4 linked regions of the Diceros bicornis minor genome follow. The protein of the gene in region 1 binds, or shares a complex with, the protein of each later gene. Links are inferred from orthologs where the notes say so. Each region holds a gene or a part of one and is shown in the gene's direction. Other genes may lie near its edges. The genes, in order: TMEM231, TMEM17, TMEM237 and MKS1.

What was found.
Region 2: TMEM231 (region 1) and TMEM17 share a complex: the UniProt entries of both Homo sapiens proteins name them as parts of the tectonic-like complex. The link is inferred for Diceros bicornis minor from reciprocal best matches to the Homo sapiens genes TMEM231 and TMEM17.
Region 3: TMEM231 (region 1) and TMEM237 share a complex: the UniProt entries of both Homo sapiens proteins name them as parts of the tectonic-like complex. The link is inferred for Diceros bicornis minor from reciprocal best matches to the Homo sapiens genes TMEM231 and TMEM237.
Region 4: TMEM231 (region 1) and MKS1 share a complex: the UniProt entries of both Homo sapiens proteins name them as parts of the tectonic-like complex. The link is inferred for Diceros bicornis minor from reciprocal best matches to the Homo sapiens genes TMEM231 and MKS1.

Annotation. Positions count from the first base shown.
Region 1 is NC_080771.1:25,997,473-26,005,039, reverse strand, and holds the start of TMEM231 (transmembrane protein 231), read left to right. Parts: upstream 1-4,562; 5' UTR 4,563-4,664; coding exon 4,665-4,803; intron 4,804-4,909; coding exon 4,910-5,079; intron 5,080-6,244; coding exon 6,245-6,299; intron 6,300-6,543; coding exon 6,544-6,626; intron 6,627-7,567. UniProt on the Homo sapiens protein: Transmembrane component of the tectonic-like complex, a complex localized at the transition zone of primary cilia and acting as a barrier that prevents diffusion of transmembrane proteins between the cilia and plasma membranes.
Region 2 is NC_080751.1:24,967,944-24,975,097, forward strand, and holds the start of TMEM17 (transmembrane protein 17), read left to right. Parts: upstream 1-4,153; 5' UTR 4,154-4,256; coding exon 4,257-4,356; intron 4,357-7,154. UniProt on the Homo sapiens protein: Transmembrane component of the tectonic-like complex, a complex localized at the transition zone of primary cilia and acting as a barrier that prevents diffusion of transmembrane proteins between the cilia and plasma membranes.
Region 3 is NC_080749.1:79,490,044-79,497,777, reverse strand, and holds the start of TMEM237 (transmembrane protein 237), read left to right. Parts: upstream 1-4,725; coding exon 4,726-4,733; intron 4,734-4,960; coding exon 4,961-4,971; intron 4,972-5,888; coding exon 5,889-5,945; intron 5,946-7,570; coding exon 7,571-7,708; intron 7,709-7,734. Other genes in the region: MPP4 (MAGUK p55 subfamily member 4), read left to right, coding at 979-1,170. UniProt on the Homo sapiens protein: Component of the transition zone in primary cilia. Required for ciliogenesis.
Region 4 is NC_080757.1:29,467,793-29,475,029, forward strand, and holds the start of MKS1 (tectonic-like complex member MKS1), read left to right. Parts: upstream 1-4,228; 5' UTR 4,229-4,237; coding exon 4,238-4,317; intron 4,318-4,741; coding exon 4,742-4,851; intron 4,852-6,196; coding exon 6,197-6,267; intron 6,268-6,953; coding exon 6,954-7,109; intron 7,110-7,237. UniProt on the Homo sapiens protein: Component of the tectonic-like complex, a complex localized at the transition zone of primary cilia and acting as a barrier that prevents diffusion of transmembrane proteins between the cilia and plasma membranes.

The DNA of each region.
Region 1 (7,567 bases):
CATCATTTCCTACAGTTGAAATTCCTGATGGATGCTGTGGAATCTAGCTTCATTCTAAAGGTATCTTTGTTATTTTAAGATTGTGTGTCTGAGTAACCAAAATAGGTTTTTGTTTGCTTGTTTGTCTTTAATGAAGTGAAAAATCCTTTGAATTTTGTACCTAGAAATTATTGTTGTTGCATATAGGAGCACTGTTCTAGGTGTTCAGGAAAAGCAGTGAACAGAACAGACAACACCCATGTTCTGATGGAGTTTGCATTCTAGTTGGACAAGACAGAAAATAGGGGCCGGCCCCGTGGCTTAGCGGTTAGGTGCGCACGCTCCGCTACTGGCGGCCTGGGTTCGGATCCCGGCGCGCACCAGCGCACCGCTTCTCCGGCCATGCTGAGGCCGCGTCTCACGTACAGCAGCTGGAAGGATGTGCAACTATGACATACAACTATCTACTGGGGCTTTGGGGAGAAAAAGGGGGGGGGGGGGGAAGGAGGAGGATTGGCAATAGATGTTGGCTCAGGACCGGTCTTCCTCAGCAAAAAGAGGAGGATTGGCATGGATGTTAGCTCAGGGCTGATCTTCCTCACAAAAAAAAAAAAGACAGAAAATAGATATGTCGGGTAACGATAGGTGCTGTTTCAGGAAAATAAAGCAGGGTTGGAGACTAGAGTGATGGTGGGATAGAATGCTAATTAGGTAAAGTGGTTGGCATATTCTAGGAATAAGAAGGATCCACTTGTGGCTGGAGGCGAATGAGCAAGGAGGAATGTGTTAGGAGATGAGATCAAAGAGATCTAGAACAAAGCTGTGTGGCGCTTTGAATTCCATGTGAAGAAATTTGGATTTTATTTAGAATGAAATGAGAGTCAGTGGAGGGTTTTAAACAGAGGTGTGACATGATATGACTTTCCTTTTTAAGTGATCAGGTTAGCTTTTGTGTAGACAGTAGACTATAAGGGGTTGAGGATGGAAGCAAAGGGAACAGTTAAGAGCCTATTGTGATAATCCAGGTGAAGGATGATGTTGGCTTAAACCAAGATGGTGTCTGTGGAGGCAGTGGGAAGCAGTTGTGTTCTAGATATATTTTGAAGGTAGAGCAGACAAAATTTGCTGATAGATTGGATATGAGGTATGAGGGACAAGTCAAGTCAGGGTTTTTGAAAGGATGGAATTGCCATTTACTAAAATAGAGTGGAGCTAGCTTGAGGAGTGAGAATCAAGAGTTTGGTTTTGGATATATTAAGTATGAGATGCTCAAGAGACATATCCAAGTGAAGATGTAGAGTAGGTGAATGGATCTATGAGTCTCAGATTCAGAAGAGAAATACTGAAGCTATTGAACTGGATGAGATCAGCTAGAGAGTGAGTGAAAAAATGAAAATACCTTTTTTGCAAATAGAATTAAACACTGAGGGATGAAGATGGTTGTTCACCATCTGATTGTGAATCAGTGGAGGAGTTAGAATTGGACTGAAGATCCCTGCTTCCCTTTACAGAGCTGGTCATTGTGTCCTAGTCCAAGGCATGTGTACACCACCTTGCGCCTGGAAGAGCTTAGTACACTTCTCAGGGGAAAGATCCACCATTCACCCAATTGATAGTCGTGTCACCTGTTTCAATGATGTGCAATGTCTTTCTGTCTTCTATCTTTACCTACTTTCTTGATGTCTTTTTCCAGTTCACCATTCTAATTGGCTTCTCTGATCTGCCTTGATGATATGCATCACCTTCTTCGCCTATTGGGTCATTACATTTAGCTGATTGAATGTTCTAAGGACACTGGATGCCTTCCTTGAGGGGGTGGTTAGTTGAAGAGGTGAGTCAGGAGGAGAAATAGGATCATCAATATATGCAATGACACATTAACAGACTTATAACACACACAGAATAAATTTCAAATGTTGGAGAGGTGTGTGAACATGGATACTGAGGGATGGCTAGGGCAATGGGGGCTGACATAAAGCCAAGCAAGGCTTACCAAGAAAGACTTCACAGAGAATGTGAATCTTATGTTTCAGAAAGAAAAGTACATTTTCTAAAGGATAAACTTCCCTTAAAAGATAGAAACAGGGACAGGCCTGGTGGCATAGGGGTTAAGTTCGAGTATTCCACTTTGGGGGCCTGCCCCGGGGTTTGCTGGTTGGGATCCTGGGGGCGGACCTACTCACCACTCATCAAGCCATGCTGAGGCAGCGTCCCATATAGAAGAGCTACGACTCTATAACTATGATACACAACCATGTACTGGGGCTTTGGGGAGAAAAGAGAAAAAAGAGGAAGATTGGCAACAGATGTTAGCACAGGGCCAATCTTCCCTAAAAAAAAAAAAAGATAGAAACAAAGGCTGAAGTTGGAATGGGGAACTGGGAAGCCAAAGGTTCAGCAATATAGATAAATGCCAATGTGAAAAAAATGTTGCAAAGCCTTGAAGCAAAAATTCAGGAATTTTAAACTGATTCAAGAGACCCTGAATGGGAGCTTCTAGAAAGGGGTAAAACATGATTAAAATGTGTAGTTTTAAGAGAACAACTCTCTTTGATCTTGGAGGTAAATTGTATGAAACATGAGAAAATTATGGAAATGGAAACTGAGAAGTCAGTTCTCAGTCATGAATGTGTGAAAATGACACAATATACACAGATCTTTAGCATTTAAAAAAATCTAATATTCTCTTAAAGAATTGAAATAAAAACACAAAGACTAGCTTCCTCAAATCATGGAAACAGAGTAAATATTAGTATCTGTTTTTTTTTTTTTTTTAAGATTTTATTTATTTATTTATTTTCCCCCAAAGCCCCAGTAGATAGTTGTATGTCATAGCTGCACATCCTTCTAGTTGCTGTATGTGGGACGCCACCTCAGCATGGCCGGAGAAGCAGTGCGTCTGTGCGCCCCTGGGATCCCAACCCAGGCCGCCAGCAGCGGAGCACGTGCACTTAACCGCTAAGCCATGGGGCTGGCCCTTAGTATCTGTTATTATTAAATACTTTTGCAAAGCTCATGGCATCTCAGGGGAGGCTGAAGCACTTCATACACTTAAATTCTTTTTGTTTTGTTTTGTTTTTTTTTTTGTGAGGAGGACTAGCCCTGAGCTAACATCTGATGCCAATCCTCCCCTTTTTTTCTTGAGGAAGACTGACGCTGGGCTAACATCCGTGCCCATCTTCCTCTACTTTATATGGGCCGCCGCCACAGCATGGCTTGACAAGCGGCGCTTTGGTGCGCGCCCGGGATCCGAGCCTGCGAACCCCGGGCCGCTGCAGCAGAGGGCGCGCACTTAACTGCGGCGCCACCAGACCGGGCCCCAACACATACACCTAAATTCTTAGCAGTCACCTCCCTGTTTCAGCAGTGACCAAGTGACACTAGCTACAGTGTGTGTTTCCTGCTGAAAGAAGGACCTGTGGAGGGAAACACCTCCTTCCTCAGAGCCACCCTCACAATGCGATAGTAGAACCATTTATTCTAGAATCTTATTTTAATGGTTATTTAAATAAATGAAAGTCATCCACTAAACCATAGATAGAATATAATGTCAGAATCATAACATAGCTTTAAGCTAACAATTGCTGTATTTAAGAGCTGTGTTGCCATCCCAGAAAAGCTGTAAAGCAAGAATGAGTAGGACTAGACCAGATATGTCAAAAGCATCATATGGCCGATGACACTGTCACCTTGGACTATGGTAAGGGCCCTAGCTAGTTATCCCAAATGGGCAGATCCTGACCTCCCTCTGTCTGTGTTGTTAGGATCTCAGTTGTTCTCTTCATCTAAAAGCCACTTCTAGGTTGCCTTCAAAATAGGGGCATCAACTACTGGACTCCACTCTAAGCACAAACTTCACACTATCTCTTGGCACTGCAGTGTGATCCTTCAAGCCCTTTTGATGAAGAACTTGGCTGTGAACCATGGTTAAAAAAAAAAAAAATCCTTCTGCCATGCTCGAAATACTGGTTTGGGGGTTAGAAACATTCAATTAAGTGATAAGCCAATGTTATCTTTGGGGAGGACCATAGCTTCCTCTAAAACCAGTAGCCAGGCTTGTACCCAATACATGTAACAAAGTATAGCAGAGAGCTATGTAGTAATTATCCTTTATCCCACGAAGAGCTGCGAGATTTGTGTCCTGTTTCTATGTCTGTCCTACTATGGAGTAGAGTGAAAGCAACGAAACTTTGGAGACAAAGGGACCTGGTTTTTGTCTTATCCCAGGAACAGGTGGAGGATCACGGCCAGTTTATGTTCTGTGTGTTTTCCTCCCATGTAGGGTGTGCTGTGACTAGCTGGACTTAAGTATGAACCACATTGTGGATTAACAGATAACATACAAGCAGCTATTTACTGTAAGGCAACTTTTATGAAAATCTTCTTTTACACAAGTGTTAACACGGGCGGTGGCTATGATTTTGGTGCACGCAAACATTCTACCTCCACCCAGCCTTTGGAGAAACGCACGCAACGCGTAAAGCGGGTCGAGCGTCCACCAGCCCGCATCGCCCCCGTCAGCCCCGCCCCTACGGTGGCCCCGCTTCCTTGCTATTGGTTCCTTTCCCTGCGCCGTCGGTTGCCGTGGAGACCACAGCTATGGCAACTAGGAGAAGCCAAACTTAGTCGTTCCTCTCGAACCGCGGAGGGGTCCCGGGCGTGCGGCGCTAGTCCGCGCGGAGCTCATGGCGCTCTACGAGCTCTACTCTCACCCGGCCGAGCGCGGCTACCGCGCGGGGCTCTGCTCCAAGGCCGCGGTGTTCCTGCTGCTGGCCGCCGTGCTCACGTACATCCCGCCGCTGCTGGTGGCCTTCCGGAGCCACGGTGAGCCTGCCCCCGGCCGGTGCGCAGCACAGCCCCTGCGGCCCGCGGCGCCCCGGCCGGCCTTCCTGACTTCCTCCCTACCGCCCTCCCGCCTTCTTTACCTCAGGGTTCTGGCTGAAGCGGAGCAGCTACGAGGAGCAGCCGACCGTGCGCTTCCAGCACCAGGTGCTGCTCGTAGCCCTGCTAGGATCCGAGCGCGGCGGCTTTCTCGCGTGGAGCACGTTCCCCGCCTTCAACCGGCTGCAGGGGGATCACCTGCGCGTCCCGCTCGTTTCGGTGCGTGATTCCTGCCCTTTTCTAGCCCCCCCACCCCGGGGACTGGGCGGTGGTGGCGGTGGGAGGGAGGTAGCGAGCTGCCCGGCCTGAGCCCCCGGGGAGCCCAGCGTGGATCTTAAGGGTTCGCGAACCCATGGAGGTTGTGTGCACAGGCTCATTGGCCTAAGCCTATTTACTGGCCTCTTTTACTGGTTTAATTTACTGAGAGGTAAATTTCTCGTTTCATTCGACTTCTCCAAGCCGTCTCCAACCCCAAGAAGGTTAGCCACTGCTGTCAGCGTCTGCGTCCTGACAGAGTGCAGAAGCCTGGGGACAGCCTGTCGCTGGCCCCGTCCTTTCCGGGCCTGGCCTCATGGAAGGGTGGTCGGGAAAGTTCGTGGGTCATGAAGGCCGAGCAGTGTTCCTGTTGTAACCCCATCATGTCGCTGCAGTTGTGCATCGCACCACGGTGGGAACGCAAAGGGTAGGCGTTTTTATGAAGACTTGACACATGGAAGCCAAGGCGGTGATTGGTTCAGCGACCTCCCCAGAAAGTCGGGCTGGCCTAGTCCCTGAGCTTGTACCTTTAGATGCTGCTCCATCCTGCAGCTGTCTGGGATGAAAATGAAGCATTTTACTATTTGTAATTTAGTCTTTGGTTCAGGATAAGTGAGTGCTTCCTTGACAATCACCCCTTTCCGCACATTTTCTGAAAACGTTTTGCTTTGGAAGTATGAAAATTCTGGTTTTCCTTCTTCCAAAGTTGAATCTCTTTACACATCTCTGAGCTGATTGGCCTACAAGCCAGACTTGTGCAGCTGAAAACAAAAATTCAGACTTTTTTCTAGCAGCTAAATGAAATGAAAAAAAGTTTTAAACCTTATTGTTATATGAATAACTACAAACAAAATATGATTCAGATTACTTTTTTTCTGGTTACTTTACGTTTTCTTATATTTTTTTTCTGATTATAAAAATGCATGCTCATTGTAAAATATGAAAAAGTTACAGGTATACAGAAAGGCATAAAATTAAAGGCTTAGTTTGGTACATGAATCAATACTTGTTAATTAACCTTATTCTTTTTAAGGTCTGCAAAGTATTTCATAATATAGAAAAACCATGATGGATTTAACCACTTCCCCATTGGTGGATATTTGATTTGCTTTTACTTTTTCACTATTAGAATATTGCAGTGAGTAAGATTTTGAATTGGAATGGAAGCTGTTGGTTGAAATTGTGTAAGTACATGGAAAACTAAGCAAGCAAATAAAACAGTAACTCCAGAGAAAGAAAAAGTAAGGAACAGTGAGAAAGGAAAAGTAATCAGAGTTGTGAATGGTATTTACGTAGTCATAATTATATGAACACTGAGTATTGACTAACCAAAAGAATGGGAAGGGTGTGTGTGTGTGGGTGTGGGTGGTGGGGGCTGGTGGGAGGTGAGGGGAAGAAAACTAAATCTTCATCTTTCCTTGTGGGAAGTCAATAGAGAATGCCTGAAACTGAGAAATCGAGAAGTGCCAATTCAAATGTTAAAACATGGAGATACGTTTCTAAATAATGAGGTAAATGAGATGAAAATATTTGTTATGGGAGTGGAAGTCTGTTTTTCTAACAAATATGGTTGAACACTTTGATTCTTTAAATGCTTAGGTCTTTTAAATTGATTTTAAAAATAGAACTGGAGTAGGAGACATTTCTTTCAGTAGCTCCTCACTAATCATGACATGTTGCCCATTTTTATTATTTGAGATTATAATGCCTCTTGGGAAGGGTGACTGGATGAGAGGCCAGTGTTGAGGTATGCTTACTTTTCATTGTGTACCCAGTGTACTTCTGGTGTTCCATGTGCGTGTGTTTCATTTCCAAAAATGGAAACAAAGGATTTTTTATTCCAAATAAAAAATTAACTTGTTTGGTTTACTTTAGGTTAGCAGTCCCTGTCTTAAATTTTTTTCTTTACATTTGTATATTCCTCTCTATCCTATTCTTCTGGTTACTTGAGTCTAAGAAATAATCATGAAAATGTAAAATAATCATGAAAACAGGGATATAGCGTTAGGTTTCGTTCATTCGTTCTTTTCACTTGTTCATCCACCACAAGTGGTTGGCTCCCCGGTTGGACCGCTGTGTTAGCCTCTTATCTCGGTAACCAGAAACTGCTCCCTTGAGAGCATTGCCCATGTTCCCCCTGCTTCTGGTGTGTGTGAATTCCGATTTTAAATCTACAAAGCCAAGACTACCTCTTTTTTTTTTTTGGTGCCCAGAACCGTTAATCCTTTCATACTGGGTAATTTTTGTAAGACACAAAACCAAAGCTCCTTTTTCTTAGTTTTTTACCCCTTCATTCTAGGCCAGTGCCTATAAGTAATTTATGGCCTTGTTATCTACAGTCTTTCTCAATAAATGCTTTGCTTCCTTCCTACCTGAGCTCTTGGTTTGAGAATAGTTTGAAATCATGAGATACAAGAAATGAGAAGACAGTGGAAGTACAGACCTCAACAGC
Region 2 (7,154 bases), on another chromosome or scaffold:
AATTTACCTAAATTCTTAGAAATGTCTCAATTCATTTTAAGGAAATAAATTGAATAACATGTTTACTTAAAAATATTGTTCCTAAACTTTTTATTAGTATCAAGTGAAAAGAATTTATATCTTTATTACGCCAAGGAGTAATTTAAATAACTCTCCAAATCAGTTTCTTGTCACATAAGATAATGTTATTACCAGACAACTTTGCCTCTTGTCAAAGAGACCCAAACCATTGCACTAGTCTCAAAATTTTTGTGAAAATGAATATTTAGGAAAGTAAATCATAAATGAAATTAAACTCCAATGAAATACATTAAACAATTATTGGAGAAGCAGCTATTACTCTGACCATCAACACTGGTACAAGAAGTAAACAGTTTAACTTTATAGGATTATTTATTAATCTTGCCGGGACTGATTCCCATGATTTTAAGAATGGAGACTCCCTACTCCTCTCTTCAGATTCTGAATATGTCTAGAATATGGGAAACCCAAATTATACTAGTCTTGACTCCATGAAAGTGGGTTCCCTTCTCTGTTCTTGAGCATTTCATTAATGTAATTGCCTATAAATATTGTGAGCATCAACCAACAAAATAATATTTCAAAAGCTTTTTGAGCTCTTTGGACCATTTGTGACATCAGTAACGGCAGGATTCTTTCTAAACCACAATTTTTTCCTCTCAAAACTCTTCTTTAATACAATTTTGCACCATCATTGCCTCTTTCTCTCAATTTATTTTTAATAAGATTTGTTTCAAACTATAAAATGCATGCTTATTATAGTAAATTTGAATAACAAATAAAATGAAAAATACCCATAATTCTATCAATTTTTTCCTCCAGGATTTTGATAGAATAATTGCAATCTGAATAAGGTGTTTCATATCTTTTTTCAATGCCAGGAAAAAATCTTTAAAGAAATTCACTCAGGCCTTTGATCAATTTGGTTAACATGCATGGACTGTTTTGTGGTTAATTCTACCCACTGTCTTTACTAGGAAAGCAATAGAGGTATGCCTCATAGGTACAGCTGAATTCAGAAAATTAAATGCTGGCATGATTTCACTCCACTGTAGGTGTTTTTTCTTCACAAACATCAAAGATGTCCATCATTTATAGAAGGATAAGTGTCAAAGACAGCCATCACTTATAGAAAGCCTTATTTAATGATATAATCTTCACATCAACCATAACAGTAAGTTATCATTATTCTCACTTTACAAAACAAAGGTCTGAAATCAATCGCATGGCTCTTATGGGGTAAAGTGAGAATTTTAGGAGATTCGAACCCTGCTCTCTCTGCTTCCAAGGACATCCTTTCCACTATAGCCCACCTCACCAGGATTATCATAATCTGCTTAACTAGGCCCTGTGATTGGGCACTCCAAATGCTCCCCCACCTTTTTTTCTTTTTAACTAATATCAATAATGTTGGAATTAATCTCTTACTGTATAAAATGTTATTTGTTTTTATGATTACTTCCCCAAAATAGAGCCTTAAAAATTGAATCATTGTATTAAAGGCAGGAGTATTTTTAAGGCAATTTGTACATATTGCTGATTGCTTTCCTGAATGAGATTCTTCAAATTATAACTCAATCAGCAGAGTATGAAGATTCCTGCTTCACTGTGCCCTTTATAAAAGTCTTGGTTAGAGCCAGCCCTGATGGCCTAGTGGTTAAAGTTCAGCGCTCTCCCCGTTTTGGCAGCCTGGGTTCATTTCCCCGCTGCGGAACCACATCACCCATTTGTCAATTGCCATGTTGTGCCGGCAGCTCACAAAGACTAACTAGAAGGACTTAGAACTAAGATACGCAACCACGCACTGGGGCTTTGGGGAGAAGAAAAAAATCTTGCTTAATTTAATAGACAATAATTGATTCTTTGTTGCTAAGTTAAATTTTTTTTTTCCTCTTGGCTGAGGAAGATTCGCCCTGTGCTAACATCTGTGCCAATCTTCCTCTATTCTGTACGTGGGTCACCGTCACAGCATGGCTGACTACTGGTGTTGGTCTGCACCCAGGATCTGAACACGTGAACCCAGGATGCTGAAGCGGAGCACGCCAAACTTAACCACTATGCCACCAGGCCGCCCCGCCCCCCACCAAATTTTTTTTGATTGCTATAATTCACTGCGTTTTAATATATCAATTCTCTTCTCTATAGAGTGAACCTTATATAAGGGCTGGCTAAGTAAGTCCTTGAACTAGAAATGGTAAGATATGGGAGTGGTCTTTAGACCTTTTATTCCCTTTATTCATTCAATAGTTATCCAGTTCCCACTCCAGGTCAGGCACCCATCCTAATGCTCAGGATAGAAAGATGAAAGCCCATCCCTGACCTCAAAGAGCGCGTGGACTAGCAAGAGAAACAGACACAAATAGACAGTTATAGTACAGCGTGACTAGCACTTCCAAAGTAACACAGAGGAACATGCTTTGAGAAAGAGAGGAGGGCACTTAAGCCAGCTTCACGAAGGTCCTGGAAGCCTTTTGGAGATGCTGAGGCCTGAGCTCTATCTTGGAAAGAAGCAGAAGTTAGCCAGCTTTTCCCTGACATCCCCAACCAGAACTAATTGCTTCCTCATCTGTGTTTCTTTACTCAAGTATATCGTACGTATTTGTTTCCATGTCTCGCACTCTTTCACCGGGCTGAGCTTCTTGATGGAGAGGAATATCCATAATTAGCCAAGTACAATGCCAAAAAAAGTAGTAAGAATGCAATAAGCATTCGATGAATTATTTTGAGATTCTAGCCATGTATCTATTTCCTCCCATGCCTTCCTCTTGGCATTTAGATAAATATGTACGGTTCCTTTGACTGTAAAAATAATACTGTTCACCACACACCCATCAGAATGGCTGAAAGGAAAGGACGGAAAATAACAAGTGTTGGTGATGGATTTGAAGCAACAGAAATGCACACACCATTGCTACAGGAAATAGAAATTGGTACAACCACTTTGGAAAACTGTTGGCAGTATCTATTAAAGCTGGGTCCTACCTCATAAGCCAGCAATTCCACTCCTGGGAATAAACTCTGCACAAAGGCATGCATATGTTCACCAAGATGTATATTTTCATCAAAAGCTGCACTATTCATAATAGCTCCAAACTAGAAAATACACAGATGCTCATCAACAGTAGAATGGATAAACTTATTGTGGCATGGTCACACACAGCAAGAAAGAGAATCTACACTCAACAATATGAAGGAGTTTCATGAAAATAATTTTGAGGGCAAAGAGCCAGATTTCTTTTTAAAAAGCACTTACTGCAAGATTACTTTTATATAAGGCATAAAAATAGACAAAACTATGCTGTCAGTAGTCGGGAAAGGTCATTTAGAAGTGGAGGGTTAGTGACTGTAAGGAAACAGGAAGGGGGAGATTCTCGGGGTGCTGATAACGTTCTGTTTCTTGACCTGTGTACTGGTTACATATGTATATTCAGTTCTGTATGTATATTATACTTAAATAGTTTTTTTAAAAAATAACACATCTTATTTGAGAGAAAGCTGGAAAATACAGAGATGTTTAAAAATTTAAATCACCCACAACCCACTATCCAGAAATAACCACTATTAACATTTTGGATTGTTTCCTTCTAGTCTTTTTTTGAAGCCACGGTGCTTGTGCTACCTACCCCTGCTCCCCACATATTTACACACGCACATTTTGCTAAAAGAGGTTCATTTCTATTTAGTTTTACTTTTGGTTTTTTATTTTTACTTAAAGTTAATCCATATCATCAAATATTCATTGCAAGCATGTTTTTTAAGCTGCTGCAATATACTCCATCAAATATATATACACATACACACACATACTATACATATAGCTCCCAAAAAAGAAGCTACTGGGTCATGAACATTCTTTAAGCTCTGCATTCGTTCTCTATTTCCTTCCAGAAAAGTTGCATCCCACTGGCAAAGTATGAGGGCTCCAACCCTCATACTTTGTATCACAATCCAAGCCCAGGTTATTTATTATTATTTCTATTTGTTTTTAAAAGGGTAAGGCTTAAAACAGGACTAACGAATCTACCGTTTTGCACCCGGCTGAGGCGCTCAGCAGGTACCGGGCCTCCGAGCACCTCTCCCTTCCAGACGCGCCGGCTAGCGACCCGCACCCGGGCCCCGCAGTGCGGCCGCGCGTGCACCCGGGCCCCCAGCCCTCGCACCGCCCGGTTGCCGTGGGAACCGCAGAGCGCGGCTGCGTCCGCAGACCCAGCTGTGAGAGGTTCCGAGGCCCGGGCATGGAGCTGCCGGATCCGGTCCGCCAGCGGCTGGGAAACTTCAGCCGGACCGTGTTCAGCGACTCTAACCGGACCGGGCCGGAGTACAGCGAGGGTCCGGGTGAGTGGCGAAGGTCCGGGTGTGGCCTGCCGACAACCTGGCGCCGGTTTTGGAGCGGCCAGATTTTGCCCGGACCTAAGATGGCGGCTTCGCCTTCAGCTGGTTCCCCGCAGTGCGGAAAGCGCCTTGGAGGAGAAGCCCGGATCCCCGGCGGGTCTTGGGCTGAGCGTGCTGCGGCCTGGCTGGCGGCCTGGAAGCGGGGCAGCTGAGCTGGCGCCGGCCTTCTTCAAAAAATAAAAATATAAAAGCCGCCTTCGCAGCACACATCCGCTCCCGCGCCCTCCGCGAAGGCCGAAGTTGCTTTTCCTTTGCGGGTCCGCCCTGGCTTTTCTGGCCAGGATGGAGTGACAACAGCCTAGGCAGTCTCCCCTTCCCACTCCCCACCCCCTACCCCGAGAAAATATCTTTTCCTTTTTTCTTTAGCTAGCAGAATAAGTACGTTCCACCACAAGTCCGTTTTGTGGCAGAAGAGATGGAAACAAGTTTTTAAAATGAGTCATTTTAAACCGCTATCCGCTCCAGAGTGGCAGCTGCCACACTAGCATCGCCTTCAACAAAACTCGCCCCCTTCCCTGCTTTCTCCTCCTCCTCTATATGTAACTCTTTCCCTAAATCTGGTAACAAAATACCACGATGCTACATTCAACATGACAGGTAACGCAGTTTCCTTCAAAACAGTGTCCTCCTCTTAAATCATGATGATAGACAACATACTGTCAACCAAACCCATGCGGTTTTTATCACTGAATTCTGTTGGGGATTAGAAATCTTTTCCTCTTGCTTGGTTTAAGGATTTTTTAAAAAGGACAGAGAAAAGTAAAGTCAATTCCCATAGTTGCGTTTTTTCACCCTGCTTATTTGCCTGTCCCCCAAATTTAGGCCTCTTCATGATTTAGGATGTACGGAGAAAAATGTAATGTGAAATATTAGGTTTTTACAGTTCTGATTCTAAAGCTAAAGCTTAACAGGCGGTAAAATCTGATGATGCAAGGTATCAGGGGTCAGCAGACTTTTTCTGTAAAGTGCCAGATAGTAAATATTTTAGACTCTGCAGGCCATAGGTCTCTGTGGCAGCCGCAGATAATGGTAATTGAATAAGCATGGCAGTGTTCCAATAAAACTTTATTTATGGACACTAAAATTTGAATTTCATATGATTTTCAGTGTCACAAAATATTATTCTTTTATTTTTTTTCCCCAACCAATTAAAAATGTGAAAACCCGTTTTTAGTTCACTTGCTATACAAAAACAGGCAGCTGGTTGGTAGTTTGCTTACCCCTGATTTATATAATGTCTTAATTTAAGTTCCATTTACAGAATTCAACTTGTACTTTTGCAAAATTTAGTAAATTCGTGTCTTGTGCTTTCAAGGTTCATTTACATATTGATTTTCGATTGCATGATTATAAGTTTGATCTGCTGAAATATAGACATAGCATAACTCTTAAGATGCTCATGTACAAAATTTCTAACATAAAAACTTCTTTGCAAAATTTGACTACAGTTTCTGCTCCAAAGGTATTAAATTTTTCAGCTTACCTAATTTATCGTTATCTTTCTACATTTTCTTCTTTGTGGATCTGAAGTAGGTTTGATTATTTGTACTGTAATTACAAGTGTATATCATTATCTTGTCTACAGCTGACCAAGAGTTGTACTGTTATGAATAAAATCCTAGGCTAGTGAGTTTCCTTCAGATTTAACAGATTTTAAGAATTGATTCCTTTGTCAGTGGTAATTTAATAAATAGGTGCAAGCAAAAGTAGATCATAATAGAATTTTTTAGAAAGTAGATCATAATAATCAGGCATATTCTTGGAGCTAATGGAAAACTTCTTGCTATGATAGACCATGATTATTTCTTATATTTTAAAATTATTAAATTAAATTATTAAATATAAAAATATTAAATATATTTTAAAATTATTAAATGACATAAAATATTCAGCTGTGGAGACAAAAGAATCAGTTTTTAAGAAATTTATTTTAGAGCCTTTGTAAATTCTTACATTTAGAGCAATTGATTTCAAAATATATATCTTCTCTTAAATTGTTAGAATTTAGTCAAATTTAGGATACCTTTGTAGGACTCAATTTATAAAATCAAATTCTTAATTTAGGACCCTTCTCCCTTACATAAAAGCAAAAGTGCTGTGTAATCAGCCTGGGAAATGAAACTCATGTATCACGAATGGCTACACTGATAATGTCCTTATGACAGTATGTTTTCATTAATTCATTCTTTCTGCTTTTGTGTATTTGGTATTTACCATGTGTAAACCAAGATGCTAGGTTTTATGAGGGTCTCAAATTTGGGTAGAACATGGTCTGTGCTTATAATGAGGCTGTGAATAAGTAAAAGAGAAAGAATGGGAACTAATGTTTATTGAGTGCCTACTAAGTGCCAGGCATGGTGGTAGGTGAAATAATTTATATTATTGCTAATCCTCACAAGTAACTTGGGAGGTAATTTTAATGTTACTATTTTACAGATGAAGAAATTGAAGCTCAAAGAGGTTAAGTAACATATCCCAAGTCTGGCATCCAGAGTTACAGGGGAGTTTGGGGAGTTCTGAGTCTACTTGGACTCCAAAGCTCATGATCTCTTCAGTACACCAGACTGTGTCTCGAGTGAGGGGTGTGTGGTTCTCTGCTAACACTTCTTATACACAAGTTAGAGTGATCTAAGTGCTGAGAGGGGAAACAGATATCTGCTGGGATAGGGGAATATGATCAAGAGGGGATTTATGGAAAAAGTGGCATTGAATTGGGTATTAATGAATGGGTGGGATTAGAG
Region 3 (7,734 bases), on another chromosome or scaffold:
AATCTCTGTATCATTTCAATTTTAGTATATGTGCTGCTGAAGTGAGCACAAGATAGCTTTATATTATCCTTTCTCTATCATTATTTTTATGTTCATATGTTTTCAATGATTACTATATCAAGGTCTGACTCTCCAGTTTGCATTTCAGACAGTGGAGTCCATGGATATATTCTCTGAGTCTTACAGGCATTTAAAATTGTGTTCTTATTTTTATGGTAATCTAAACAAATGAACAAAATTGTTTCTGGATCATGTGTAAGGTCACCTTGTAAAGCAGTACTGCCACGAGATTCCAGTGCCTGCATTTATATTTGTGTTTATGATGCATTGGCAACGAGTTGTACTATTTTAATTGTTGTCGACAAATAAAATAAGAACAATGAATTTACTGCATTAGTGCTCAGTGAAGGCCAAATGACCTTCACTGAATGAACATCTCACAATAGTAGAAAGAGACGATATTAGGGTGAATTAGGTCATCATGAAGGAAAGGGTAATTGAAGTATGCCTAATTCAATAGAACTGGGTCAGAGCATCCTCATGTTGAAAGTGGTCATTGTGTATTGCAAAATAATGTCATTCTTATCAGATTAATGTTCATTTGAAATTTGTGTTTAAATTTAACTGGTAAATTTTCTTTGGTTTTATGTTGTATATTGTTTGAGAGCTTCAAGTGTTTAGATAATAGAACAAGATATTTTAAGTCCAAATGGGAAGTTGAGAGGATTGGTCTGTCTACAAACTGTTACTAAATTTTGTGAAAACTTGCCCAGGGAGACGTTAAGTAAGACTAAAGATAGAAACATAAGTTTTGTGGTTTAGAATAAAGCACATTTATTTGACCTAACTTTTCATAAATAGCTTCACAACCAAATGTAACAGCTGCATAACAGTAATCATAACAAGCTGCATATTATTTCTATTGGTCTCATTACTCGTTACGTTTGTGCTATCCATATGTTTCTATTTCCCCTGAAGGATGAAGATCTACAAGAGATGGAGGATTTAGCCCAAAAAATGGAGACTCAGTTTGGCCAGTTTTTTGATCACGTGATTGTGAATGACCGCTTGCAAGATGCATGTGCCCAGCTGCTATCTGCAGTTCAGAAGGCGCAGGAGGAGCCGCAGTGGGTGCCAGCAACGTGGGTTTCCTCTGATACTGAGCCTTAAGGAGGCCTTCCGCTTCATGCTGGAGTTTTAACAACGTTCACCTGTTACAGAGCTCTGGCCTAACAGCTGCAACCTAAAACAGCAGCATTTGCCCTGTTACAACGTGTGCAACTTAAAAGTGCTGCAGTTTATTAATTAATCTTATTTGAAAATATATTTGTATTGTATAGTTATGTAGAGTTACCTATTTGGCTTTTAGAAAAAAATGTTTTCCTTTACCTCATATGCAGCAATTGGTAGGAATATGAACCATGTTAAGTCACTGAATATAAGAACCTTTTATAGATTTCATATGGTCTTTGTACAATTTAGATAAAAGAGCTTTCCTAAATAAAATAAGTATTTAATTTCAGAAACTATATTTTACCTTATGAAACTTCTGTTTTATGAAAATGGCTTTCACTTGACTAACTCAGCAAGAAAGAATATACACAGTTCACACCTAACATCAAAACCTACAGAAACTGCACTACCCTCAGCACATTACACAACAGGCTACAAGGAAAAAGTCGTCTCCTGCTCAGAGCTGTAACAACCATCAATTTTCCTAAAAGCCAATATCTACATTTATGCCTAAACTAGGAAAGGGCAATAGACTTCAGTCCTAGAGACCAATATCTGAGAAAACCACAGGATGAGGATATTATTCCACGTAGTCTTGTTTTTCTTTCTTCCCTAGGTCTGAGACTTTCAGTCGCTTCTCCTGCACCTGTTATGTGTTTATCTTCTGCATCATCCTCCAACTTTCTCCATATCCACACCATCCCTCCGCTCGCTTTAACTATGAGTGTGTGCTTCAAAATATTTGTAGTTTATAAATTTAAAGTGAATATTATCTCTGTAGAAAAACCCAACCAAACAAAACGAAGAAAATTGTCATTTTTAATGATGCTTATGTGAGCCCAGATTTGATTTTATGTTGTGCTTCGAGAAAAAGGTTTCCCAAACTTGATTTACACAGTTGTGGGATGGAGGGCAAGCAACTGGAGAAAATTTGACAATTGCCTGTGTTAACACACACACACCCCCAAGCGAACCGAGCCGAACCCTGGGGCCCCGCGGCTAAACGCGTCGGTGCCCGCCTCCGACGCCCCGGAACGCGGGGCTGCGCAGAGCGGCGGCGGGCGGAGACCTGGCCCGGGCGGGGGCCGAGCCGGGCGCCGCGAAGCCCGCCTCCCGGGGAGCAGGCTCGGGCCGCGGCGGTTGCGCCGAGGAGCCCCGCGGGGAGGGCGCCATGAGGGCCGACTCGGGGGTCGGGCCGGAGGAGGGCGGCCCGGTGAGCGGGGAGGGCGCGGCGGGCCGGGCGGAGGGCGCTGCGCTGACAGCACCTACCCCGCGCGGGGCCCACGCCGACGCGCTGGGGCCCGGGCAGAGCCCCGCTCCGGAGCGTGCGTCCGCCCCCCGGAGCCCCCGGGCCGGGCCGGGCCGGGCCGAGGCGGAGGCTCGCCCCGAGGCCGGCCCCGAACTCGCGGAGCCAGGCGGGAGGTTGCCGGCGGCCGGGGCGCACGTTGCCATGACGACGCGGCCCGGGCCCTGCGGTTCCCGGGCTGCGGGCGAGGCCCCCGACTGCCTCCCCCCGGAGGGTCCGCCGCCGGGAGGAGAGCGCTGTTAGCCCTTTCTCCCTCCCGCCAGCAAATCACCGCAACCACTTGATGGCTACCCCTCGCCCGCCGGCGTCTCTACGCCCGGCCGCGCAGGCCCGACTCCGCCGCCGCGAGTTCCGCAGGGGCAGCCCGGGAGGGCCAGCCCCGCGCCCGGAGGAGGCCGCGGGCCCCAGCGGCCTGGGGGCGCAGCCCGATGGCGCACTGCGCCTGCGCGCGGCCGGGGGGCGGGGTGCGCGCCGGGGAGCGGGCGGCGGCCGGCGGCCGGGGAGCCGGCCGGAGACGGAATGGGGAGGAAGCAGGTGGTAAGCGAGCCTTAGTTACTTTTGAGTTAGGAAGATTTTGTGTTCGCTTGGGCCGTTCTACTTTTGAGGGGCGTAGAGGCTGGCCGTCTGGATGGGTGACACGTCATTTTTGCGGGACTTTTGAAACGTGGCGTTAACGGCGTGAACTGAGCGCCTGGGTAGAACGCCGGCCTTAGCATCTTCGGGACAATAGCGCTTTCGTGGAACTGTCGTTCTTTCCAGTCGAATTGTGACTACTGGACAGTATTAAGACAGCCTGCCGTGTCCTACTCTTGTAGCATTTGTGTTGCTACACTGTTTGAATGATGGATCGCTAAATGGGACAGTTGTAGAATACAAGAGTGTCTAAAATTTAACCCTTTTGAATCGGTGTCTTTTGCAAGCCGAGTGAGATACTGATTTCTAGGCATTTCTGTTTGTTTTATTTTGAAAGATTTCAGAATGCTTCTTAACTGTAATTTCTCTGAACTGCAAACACAACTTTTCCTATTCATGTAAAGTAGCATTTATAAGATTTTTAAAAAAATTCTTTCTGCCCTAAAATGCATTCTTCACGCTGTATAAAATGCTTAAAACCTCCGTGGTTTCCCGTTAAATTAAAAGAAAATCTAGACTCCTTCTCTTGGTCTTCAAGACCCTGATTTTAATCTGGTCCCTGCCTTGGTAACTGTCTGGCAGCCTTACTGGCCTTCTTTTATCTGGAATACTCCAAGCCCAATCTTCCCTAAACGCCTTTGTATTTGCTCCCCTTTGGCTCCTTTCTTATTCAGGTCTCAGCTCAAATATCTCAGAGACTTTTCCTAACTAAAGTGGCACTCCTCAGCCTCCCTCATTTATTACTATATATACACACACACACACGTATATATTACTGTAGTAATATACGTAGTAATACATATATGTTACTATAGTAATATATATATATTAATGTTATCTTCTAATACTTAACCACTAGAATGTAAATTCCATAAAAGCAGTCTCTCTGTTTTGTTCATTAGTGTATCCCTAATGCTTAGAACAGGGCCTGCCCTTTAGATAGAAAGGAATGTAGGAAGGAAGGAATTTTATATGACATTTAGAAATGGTGAAACAAATTTAAAATTGTCCATCTGATTCTCATCAGTATCTCCTGGGTTTCACTTGATGAACAGGGTTATCAAAAGATTTGAAATACATGGAGTAGAGATGCTCTAAAGCTTTTCTTACAAGCAGTTTTCTTCTTCTTTTCCCCCAAAGCGTCCTCCACGAGCCCTTCCACCTGTGCCAAGGTAAAAATAATTTAATTTTATTACTGCGTTTTAAAAATGTAAAATGAATAAAGTGAAAAAATTATACCATTACAAAATGATAATAATTCAGAAAAGACTTCTTGAAAATTTTAGGAATGGCTTCCTAAAAGTTTAAAGGTGAAAAATCCTTGAGTCATTAGTGTAAGTAACGGTTATAGTTAATGTTCTGGTTCAGAGCCTGACTGTTAGCGTGGTAGGATGATGGGTCCGTTCTGAGTGTTTAAGTCTCTTGTTTATCAGAATTCTGATCCTCTTTTGTTTGCTAGAATAGTTTCCGCAGAGTTTAAGCTGATTTTAATCAGTGACAAAATAAGAGTTCTTAATCTGTTTAATCCACTTTATTAATAGACAGTGGGGAATATGTATATGTTGGTTCAGAAAATATTAGGGTTATTTTATTGGCAGTCTTATTAAAGAGGTTATTACTTATAAATAATAAGCTAGTTTGTAAACTAACTGACTGTGTGAAAGCTAATTTTATTTTTAATTTGTAATGATTTAAGTCAAATTTCAGTCTGACAATATAATATATTTCTAATTAATAGTTTCTTTTTTTGTCTTTGTCCTGATTAAATTTGGTCGGTGTCATGTAAAGTGCTATTCAAGGTGAGTTAGTTCACTGTTACTGTAAAACTTTCTAAATGTAGTATTTGGTGTTCAAAAGTTAGTTTGATTCCTTAATGTTTCTCTTAAATTTGAATCTGAATGGTATAATTTATAATACTACAATATCTTTTTATCATAATAATCTCCTCTGACTGCCATTTTTTAATGATGGTTGATGTATAATATTAGTTATGTGGTTGATATTTGACCTTGCAAAAATAAAAGCACTCATCCCTTAATGGAGTCACCCGGAACCTAACTGCTGGCCATTTATAGTTCTGTAATAGGGACTGCATCTTTCTTTGTCTCACTGAGCCAGGAGAGACTGGGTTATGTTACACTAACCGCCAAGTCTCAGGGACTTAGTATCATACAAGGTTATTTCTGGGTAATATGGAGTCCATTGAAGCAACAATCCAGGACAGCTGCCTTTCACTGCCCCTTCACTGATGATGCGGTGATTCAGCCTACTTCCATCCTGTGGTTCTGCCATCTTAACGTGAGGCCTCCTCAGTTGCCACAGCAAGGGAAGAGAAAGCTGGAGGGTTACTCACTGGCTCTTTCAATATTTTGGCCCCAAAATGACACAGATCACTTTTGCTCGAAACCTATTGGCCAGAACCAGTCATAGGCCACACCTAAGTGCAGGGCGGGGGTGGGAGGGGTGACGAGAATATTTGGTGAGCCCACTTTCTGTGTCACAGTTTCTAACATTACTACCAGCAATGAGCTATTGGTGCCACGCTGTGGGCTCTCTTTGACTTTGTCAATTTCTTGCCTTCTTCTCCTAATATGTAGAAGTTGGCTGGACCCAGGGAAGAGAGGGAAAGTTCTTCCCTACTTCAAGTTCACTTTTGAGTGTTCCCTGCATTGAATTTTAGACAGCCTTTTCTGTTGTTGTTCTTTCTGTTTTGTAGATGATATTCCCCTTAGTCGTCCAAAGAAAAAGAAGCCCAGAACAAAAACCACACTAGGTAAGAAGTTGTTCTTTGTTGTATGGGGTCACATGTTTTTCCAGAACCTCAGATGTGATAAACATCACAGATCAAGTCCCTGCTGTGTTGAGGATAGAATCAGGGTCACTTTGAAGCGGTGGGATTCCTGGTGGTAGTGAGGGACAAGGCAGGGTTCAGTCTGAAGAGTGTCTAGAAGCATTCATGGAATAAAGGGTTGTGCCCCCTAAACTCTTACTTCCAAAACATTCTCTGACTCTTTGAGGTCTTTTATCCCTAGATAACATAAGTTGTCTCAAGCTGAGATTGGTTCCAGACCCTTGAACAGGATACTGGATTTAGAGACCTAAGGTTCCTGATCCCTCATTTCAGTCAGAGAATCTCTACAGTAGAGCGTGAGTCTGAAGGCAAGGCTGTATAATGCAGGTAGTAAAGCTCTAATAATGAGCAAGTCTTAGTTATGCACTAGTAATCCTGGATGTTCTATCAGTAACTCAAATTCAGCACGTCCAGAATTCATCTTCACCTTCAACAATAAATCAATTTTTACTTCTCACTTACGAATTTCTGTTAATGGGACCCCCCCACTCTCCCAGTCATTCAAGCTGGAAACCTCAAAGTCAGCCCTCTAACTGTTCCCTTCACTCTCCTGGCTGCCTCACAAGCTGACTTATTCTGTGGTATCTTTTATGTCTCTTTTCCCCCTTTCATCTCCACTGTCACAACTGTAGGTATTTAGATCTCTCTTCTCCCTGAGCTGTTGGGGTAGCCTCCAGCATTGCTCTGTACTTCTAGCTTTCCTCCACTCTGGTCGGTTCTGCCCACTACTGCTGGTGAGCTTCTTAAAGCTCATAGCTGATCATGCCTTCCACCTGGTCAGAAACTTACATTGGCTTATTGCCTGACAAATGGAGGAATAGATGGGGGGGGGAGAGAAGAAGAAAGAAATGGAGATGAGTGCATAGAGAGAGAAAGACATATAGACACAGAACAGAAAGAAAAGAGATGCAAAGAGACTTAGATTCACAAAGATACTCACTGAAATGCTAGGCTCTAAAAATACACTCACAGTTAGTTATAGACACACATATGGACCTAGAAAGGTCACAAGTGGAGGATGCGGTAAAGACAGTGTTGGGGGAGCAGAGGTGCAGTCTATCCCAGCTACCAGTCTTCCTTCTTGTAAAAAAGAGAAAAAAATTCAGTGCCCCAGACCAAAAAGGGGATATATTGCTAGGCTTTTATTAAAATTGTTCATTTAGGGGCTGGCCCAGTGGCATAGCGGTTAAGAGGCTGAGAATTCTTAAGGCATGAGACAAATAAGAGTTCTCTATGGTGACGGTTCTGTTGTGTTTTCACCTTTTTGAAAGTTCTGAGGCAATTTCTCCTCCTCCTCTTCTTTTGTTCTTTCTAGCCCACTGGCTTTTTTCTTCCTCAGCCTTCCTTATTCCCTCATTTATTTCTTTTCTCAACTTAAAGCCCAAAGTTACAGGTGAGGAGGAAGGAAATCAAGATTTGGGGCACAATCAGTTCTGTATGAGAAGGGGTTATTCTATAGGAAACATTCCAGTTCCCTTTTTCCTGTCTTTTTAAGACTTAGTGATCTCTGCTCAAGTTATCTCATTTTTCCCACTGTTTTTTTGTAGCTAGTGCTTCTCTGGAAGGCCTTGTTCAAACTGCTGTTCATAGGCCTTCTGAGGGCAGTGAGCTGCCAACTAAAGACCCCAGAGAACATCCAGAAGCTCCTGTTCAGAGGAGACAGAAGAAGACAAGGCCACCTCTTGGTATGTAGAGAAACCAAGGTTAGGTT
Region 4 (7,237 bases), on another chromosome or scaffold:
TACTGAAAACATACATCTTACTTTCCTTGAATACAAAGATGTTTTCCTTATCAATTTTTAGTAGTTTTAATCACATATTAGAATTTTTAACCCTTATAGACCTTAATTTTTAGTGAAAACTGAGAAGTAAGCAATTATAAACTGTCTTTTACAGTAGCATTCTGTGGCTTGGCAAGTTTATAAACACTTTTCATAATTTCTAGAAACATGCTACTTCATAGTACAATCTTTTTTTGTGTATGTGAGGAAGATCAGCCCTGAGCTAACATCCATGCCAATCCTCCTCTTTTTTTTTTTTTTTTTTTTGCTGAGGAAGACTGGCCCTGAGGTAACATCTGTGCCGATCTTCCTCCACTTTATGTGGGATGCTGCCACAGGATGGCCTTACAAGCAGTGCATCAGTGTGCACCCGGGATCCAAACCCAGGCTGCCAGCAGCGGAGCACGTGCACCTAACTGCTACGCCACGGGGCTGGCCCCCAGTACAATCTTTTAATAAAACACAAGACATGTTTTCTAAAAGACCTAAACACTTTTTAGTTTCTCTGTAATAAGAAGCCAAAAGTAGATGAACCTATATTAATAATTAACATCTAATATTTTATCTTATTTAGAAACGATCTTGATATTCAGTGAAATTTCCATCATTTAATTTAGCCAAGCAAAACTTCAAAATTTCAAGTTACTAAAGAGATTTTGGAAGTTATTTTAAATACTCATGCCATAAAATATAATTATTGCTAAAAGTTTATCTATAAACTCTTATCTCACTTACATCTAAATCATTTGCTCCCAACAACTATGTTTAGATTACCCACGAAAACTTCATGAGACATTAGACAAAATTAGCTTATCATTTTAAGCTATTATTTTCCTGACAAATTTTTAACAGAGATAACATGAGCTTATTTTTTAATTTTATTTTATATTTTTGCTGAGGAAGATTCACCCTGAGCTAACATCTGTGCCAATCCTCCTCTATTTTGTATGTGGGTCGCCGCCACAGCATGGCCCCCAATGAGTGGTGTAGGTCTGTGCCCAGGAACCAAACCCAGGCTGCTGAAGCAGAGTGCACTGAACTTAACCACTAGGTCACAGGGCCAGCCCAACATGAGCTTATTTGACTAGTAAACCCAGGCTGCATGTCTGCATGATATCCAACGCCGATAACTCTGAGGACATGTTTATTTCAATCAAACCAACAAACTTAAACAAGTTTGCATTTACCAAAGATTGTTTTATATCATGTTAACTTGAAAGACATTTGAATTAGTTTCTATTACATTTAGAAATAATTTATGTAAGTGCTTACTTTAAGCCAATTAAACAGAGCTCTTAATCTTGGCCATAGCTTCCAGAGGTAAAATATCACACATATATAATATACATATAGACACACATACACAAAGACTCCACAGCTACTGTTTTAAAACTTTAGGACAATGTACCACACCTTTAAAAGTCTGCATAAAGCATTTAACAAAGGCCTTCTTTCTAAGTGTACAATTTAATCCTAGACCAATTTACCTTGGGTGGGGAGGAGCTTTTATTACCTTTTTTTTTTTATTAGCACCTGATATTAGCCTCTAGTTTTTATCTCATACAGTACAGGCTCAGGCAACTCTATTGACTTCCCTTTAGTATATTTAATTAACATTGTCTGAAGGGCAGATTTATATGCTGTCTTACAATCAGGCAGGGGAAATGTTCCCCAGTAAGACAGGATGTCTATCCCCATAATACGATCTATAATACAATCAGGCAAAAAGAGATGCAATCACTTCACATAAAGCCCATAAATATATCAATTTTCTACAAAATTTCATCTGAATTCCATTAACTCTTATACCTCTAATGATAGTTCCATTAGGACTTTATCAATAGGTCTCAGTCTTATAATATTGGAAGGGGAAGTGTTCCCAGCCAGATATAACGTCCATTTTCAAAACACACTCAGGCAAAGTTGATATAGCCTCTGTACAATATTAGCTCAAACACTTCAACTTCTATAATCTCATCAACACTTATATTTTTACAGTTTCTCAATTTAATTGTAACCTGAGTCAGGGTCTGAAGGCTAGTCATTATTTGTTTTGTATTTCATTTTTAATTTGGTCTTTTCATAGTTACCAATAAAACAATTATGATGAGAGTTCTCAAAAAATGTTTTATAATTTAGAGAAGTTTTTCCAATTTAAATGATCCATCATCTGGCCACATTGAGGAGGAGGATCTTAATAGCTACTCAAACTGATACTGAACTTCTTAATCTCAAGTTCATGTGCCTGGTGTGCAGTAAACCAATCGCTGAGATATCAGTGCTTGGAGATGGAGAAAGGTTTATTTGAACTGGCCACACGAGAAGTCAGGAGGATAGGTTCTCTCAAATCTGCCTTAAGAGAAGAAAGCAAGGGATTTTATAGAGCTAAGTGGCTTGGCAGGAGGAGTTTCAAAGAAACAAAGGAGTAATCCATGTTTCTTTCACTCCCGATAAGCCCCTGGGCAATCTGACTTCTGGGTGTCCACAGCAGCTGGGGGCTGGTTATCTGCGGATCCTTGAAGGCATTCTTTTTCTTCTGTAAAACAAGCTCATAAATCCTTGTGATCCTTGAGTCACTCCTCAGGTTAAACAAGAAAACAGCAAATTGACAAGATTAACTTATTTTCATCTACGCCTGTGTTGGGAACAAGGTTGAAAAGTAATCTTATTGAATATTTACAGTAACCCTCAAGTACCTGGCTTCAAAACCAATAAGCCTTATGGCTTAACCATGGACACGGAGCCATCCCCAAAACATAGTGCAAAAGAAGCAGCCCTCACAAGATCCAGAAAGTTCATTCACAAAAATACTAAGAAAGCAAGGGCCTTCATTGCCCAGGCAGTAAGACCAGCATTAACAAGCCACAAAGGTTGAGATGACAGAATTCCCTTATGAAAGCAAGTGGGATGCCTTATGACAAACCCCCCTGAGAGCTGATACAGCCAGACAAAGAGAGTGCATCTCAGACCCCAGTCTACTCGACTGATCGCCAAGATGCATGCCAGTACCTGCATCTTCTGAATGGTGGAGACCAAAAAGGTCACAAAGCCAAGCTCTCAAGACATAGACACAAAGACAGAGACAAGGAAAAATAGTGACTATCTCTGGGAGGAAAAGGATCAATAAATAAATCAATGAGTACTCAAACCAAATTTCCCAGAGTCGCTGAGGCCAAGAAGCTAGCTTCACCAATATTTTCTCCTGCTAATCTAAATTTAGAAAAGGAAAAACACTCACCACTTTCGCTTCCATTGGACCATGCAGGCAGAGATCCGGGAGACTGACCTGGAAAGAACTCTTACCTCCTGCCGGCTCTTGTCAGGGATCCAGGATCTCTCTCAGCTGCAGTAGTCCAGGAGCAAGCAGCCTCCAGCCAGTTAAGTTTTGCCCCATCCTGGTCACCAAACTGTGGGGGAGGAAGGCAACGTACATGGTGATGGAAAAGCAAATGTTGGATAAGCAAATGTTTGCTGGGCCATCTACAGACAATGAGACACGGAAGCGATCTTTTGAGAAAATGGCCCTTGCTAGATGCCTTCCTGTCTACCACACCTAGAATTATCTACAGTGAGAGCGCCTTGCTGGGACAGGTCCTTCAATCTTAAAGCCTTTTAGGCAATTAGGGGGAAGGTCAAAGTTTCCTTTAGGGTCTTTTGTCCTTCAAAATAATCAAGCCAAAGAGACACATTTTGGGGTGGCAAATTCTGATTCCCCACAGTGCTATCACCTTACGTGACTTTTTTGGGAAAAATGGGTGCTTTCTGTGAGTCACATCCACCGATTTTCAGGCCAAAGTTTCCGATCACTCAGTGGAAGGCAGTGTGATGTGGTGCAACAAGTAGTGTTTGAGAACTCAGGACACCGGGGTTTGGTCCCCATCACCATTTCTGAATCTATTTGAAAGGGGCCGATGGCTCTGCCTTAGTTTCCTCATTTGTAAAGTGCATCAAGTCCAGCCTTGGGTGTGAGCGACCTTTGTTCTCACGCGCTGCAAACGGTGGCTCGCAGGACCCCAGCTTGAGCGTGCACACACGCTTCGCCTGGCCTAGGCCCCTCCTGGGGGGGCTGCGGCAGCGCGGCGCCGCTGACCGCGAGTTGCGCGCGCAGAGCCTCCACACCTCACCAGCCCAGCGTCTCCGTTGCTGGGGGAACGGAGCGACGCGCTTTCCGGCGCAGTCGCGGCGCGTCGCAGCTGTCATGGCGGAGGCCTTCTGGAGCACTGACACCGGAGAGGCCGTGTATCGCTCTCGGGACCCCGTGCGCAACCTGCGCCTCCGGTAGTCGCATCGCCCTACCTAGAGCCCCGTGCTTTTATGCCCTTAGATAATTCGAGCCCGAACTTCACTTCTCGTTTGCTGAGGCACGCACATCCGCCTACAATCCTGACCACTGCCTCCCCATTCTCCTCGCGTCGCCCTCACTGCCCGGAACCTTCCGCACTCACAGCTTCCAGACTCTCCGAAGCCCTTTTAAGACCCTGCCTCTCCCAGATTCCTCGGAGCTCTGTGTCCCCAATACACTCTGTCATTCTCGCCCTTCTCCTTAGGACCCCACACCCCGCTTACCTCCCCCTCTGTTGCCTGCACCCAGTACACCTTGGTAGCCTCACCCTCTTCTGTGTTTTGTTTCCATCTTTGCTCTGTGTTCATCTCCTAGTTGTATGTCTTGTAACGAGTATTTCGGGTTCCCTTTTCCTGACAGAGTCCACCTGCAAAGAATCACATCAAGCAGCTTCCTCCATTACCAGCCTGCTGCCCAGCTCGGGAAGGACCTCATAGACTTGGCCACTTTTAGGCCTCACCCAACCGCCAGTGGGTGTATGGTGGTGATGCGGCCCCTTGGGGATCTGGAGAAGTGCCTGGGGCGGTAGTTACCTCTTAAGACAGAGTAGACCCAGGTCTCTCATCTGAGAAAAGGCATAGATAGGTTGGGTTCCTTACCAAGGGTCACTCGGCTGGGTAAATGTTGAAGCCAGATTTAATCCCAGGCAATTTTAACTACTCCATTATGTTGAGTATGACAATTGAATATGACATGATTCCTGCCGTCAAAATACTGATCTGAATTGTGGTCAAATATAATAAAATAACAGAGGCCATACTTTAGATATGTTATAAATCTGCCTGGAAACGTAAATACCATTTGTGGCATTTTTTTCTAAGAGAAAATCTGATCCAAATACTTTGTAAAACGATGTTAAAATTGGGGTCTGCTTGAAAGATGTACATATTAACATCAACTGCCCTCTTGTGGTTTTCCTTATTTGGGAAGCCAGAAGAGTGAGGAAGCGAGGACAGTGTGTTTGTGTTGTCACTATTCTCTCTGCTTTTATTGTTTCTGTTCGTATATATTCCTGGACAAAAGTATGGGCTGATGGTTGTGAAGCATGTAACTCTGAAAAAGGCATACCCAGCCAGGAGTGTATTAGATTTGGTTCTTTTTTTTTTTTTTTTTGTGAGGAGATCAGCCCTGAGCTAACATCCGCCAATCCTCCTCTTTTTTTGCTGAGGAAGACGGCCTTGGGCTAACATCTGTGCCTATCTTCCTCCACTTTATATGGGACGCCGCCACAGCATGGCTTACCAAGCAGTGCGTCGGTGCGCGCCCGGGATCCGAACCAGCGAACCCCGGGCCGCCGCAGCGGAGCGCGCACACTTAACTGCTTGCGCCACCGGGCCGGCCCCAGATTTGGTTCTTTAAATAATCATTTATTTGCCTTTCCTCTTCTTGCCTGATACTTGGTCTCCTAAGGGTAAGTGCTTGTGATTCTAGATATATGGCTTCAGGGATAGTAAGGATAACAATGCCAGGGTTCCTTTCTAGCAAATGTAGACAGTTGGGGTTGAGGAAGAGCTCTTCAGCCTATATCTAAATTTCAGCTCCTGACACTGAATTAGATTAAATAATTCCTGGAAGGCATGACTCATTTTTATTCAAATTAGAGTCATAATTAAGACTTCTTGGGTCCTAATCCTGGCTTCTACACATGTCCACAGCCTCTCTAACCTTTGTGTAGAGTGAGTGCTTAATAAATTGCTGAACTCCACCTGGTTTTGTGGCAAATATTAGAGCAGGGACTTTGGTTATAACCAACCACAGAGCAAGAAGTAGTACTGCTTTGGCTCAAACGTTTGACGCACTCTGTTGTCTTTGGAGGTGGACACCGCCCAGATGAAGATGAAGAGGAGGAGGTCGTGATTGGGTGGCAGGAGAAGCTCTTTAGCCAGGTAAGCTGGTGTCACTTGTCTGCTAGGTCTACCTCCACCTGGCTGTAGCAGGGAAGGATCTTTGATACATACTGCCAAACTGATTTCTAGAAAGGTTGTAGCAGTTTATATTTTCCCCTGTTGTGTTTATAGGGGCAGTGTAACATAGTGACTGCCACTACCCAGTTTTATGATCCTGAGTAAGGCACTTTTCACCTCTGGGCCACGTGCCGTCTGTAACAGCAGAGTTAGATGAGACCATCACCCTGGTTCCTTTTAGCTCTAACATTCTTTGGATCCCCTGCCCTCCAGTGCTTTAGATAAATTGAGAGTTGGCTACGAAAACATGTCAAATTGCATTAGCTCTATAGAACTGATTTGACTAAACAGTTATAGGAACAAAAGTTTGACATATTTGGGGCCTGCCCCATGGTGCAGTGGTTAAGTGCGTGCGCTCAGCTTCCAGGGCCCGAGGGTTCACAGGTTGGGATTCCGGACGCGCACCGAGGCACCGCTTGTCTAGCCATGCTGTGGTGGCGTCCCGTATAAAATAGAGGAAGATGGGCACACATGTTAGTCCAGGGCCGGTCTTCCTTGGCAAAAAGAAGAGGATTGGCATGGATGTTAGCTCAGGGCTGATCTTCCTCACGCACACACAAAAAAGTTTGACATATTCTCAGTAGATCTCTGTCTCATTGTGACCTCAGTTTGAAGTAGATCTGTACCAAAATGAAGCAGCCTGTCAGAGCCCTTTGGATCATCAGTACCGTCAAGAAATCCTGAAGCTGGAGAATTCGGGTGGCAGGAAGAACCGACGAATCTTTACCTACACTGACTCTGATAGATACACCAATTTGGAGGAGGTATTGTTCTTTCGGAGGTCCCATAGCTTCCGTCTCCTTTCCCTCCCCTAGCTTTCTGGCCTCACTGGGTTCTGTGTGTTAAATTAGAAGCCTGTTAGGGAGAAACAGACAGCCTGTCGAAGAACTGC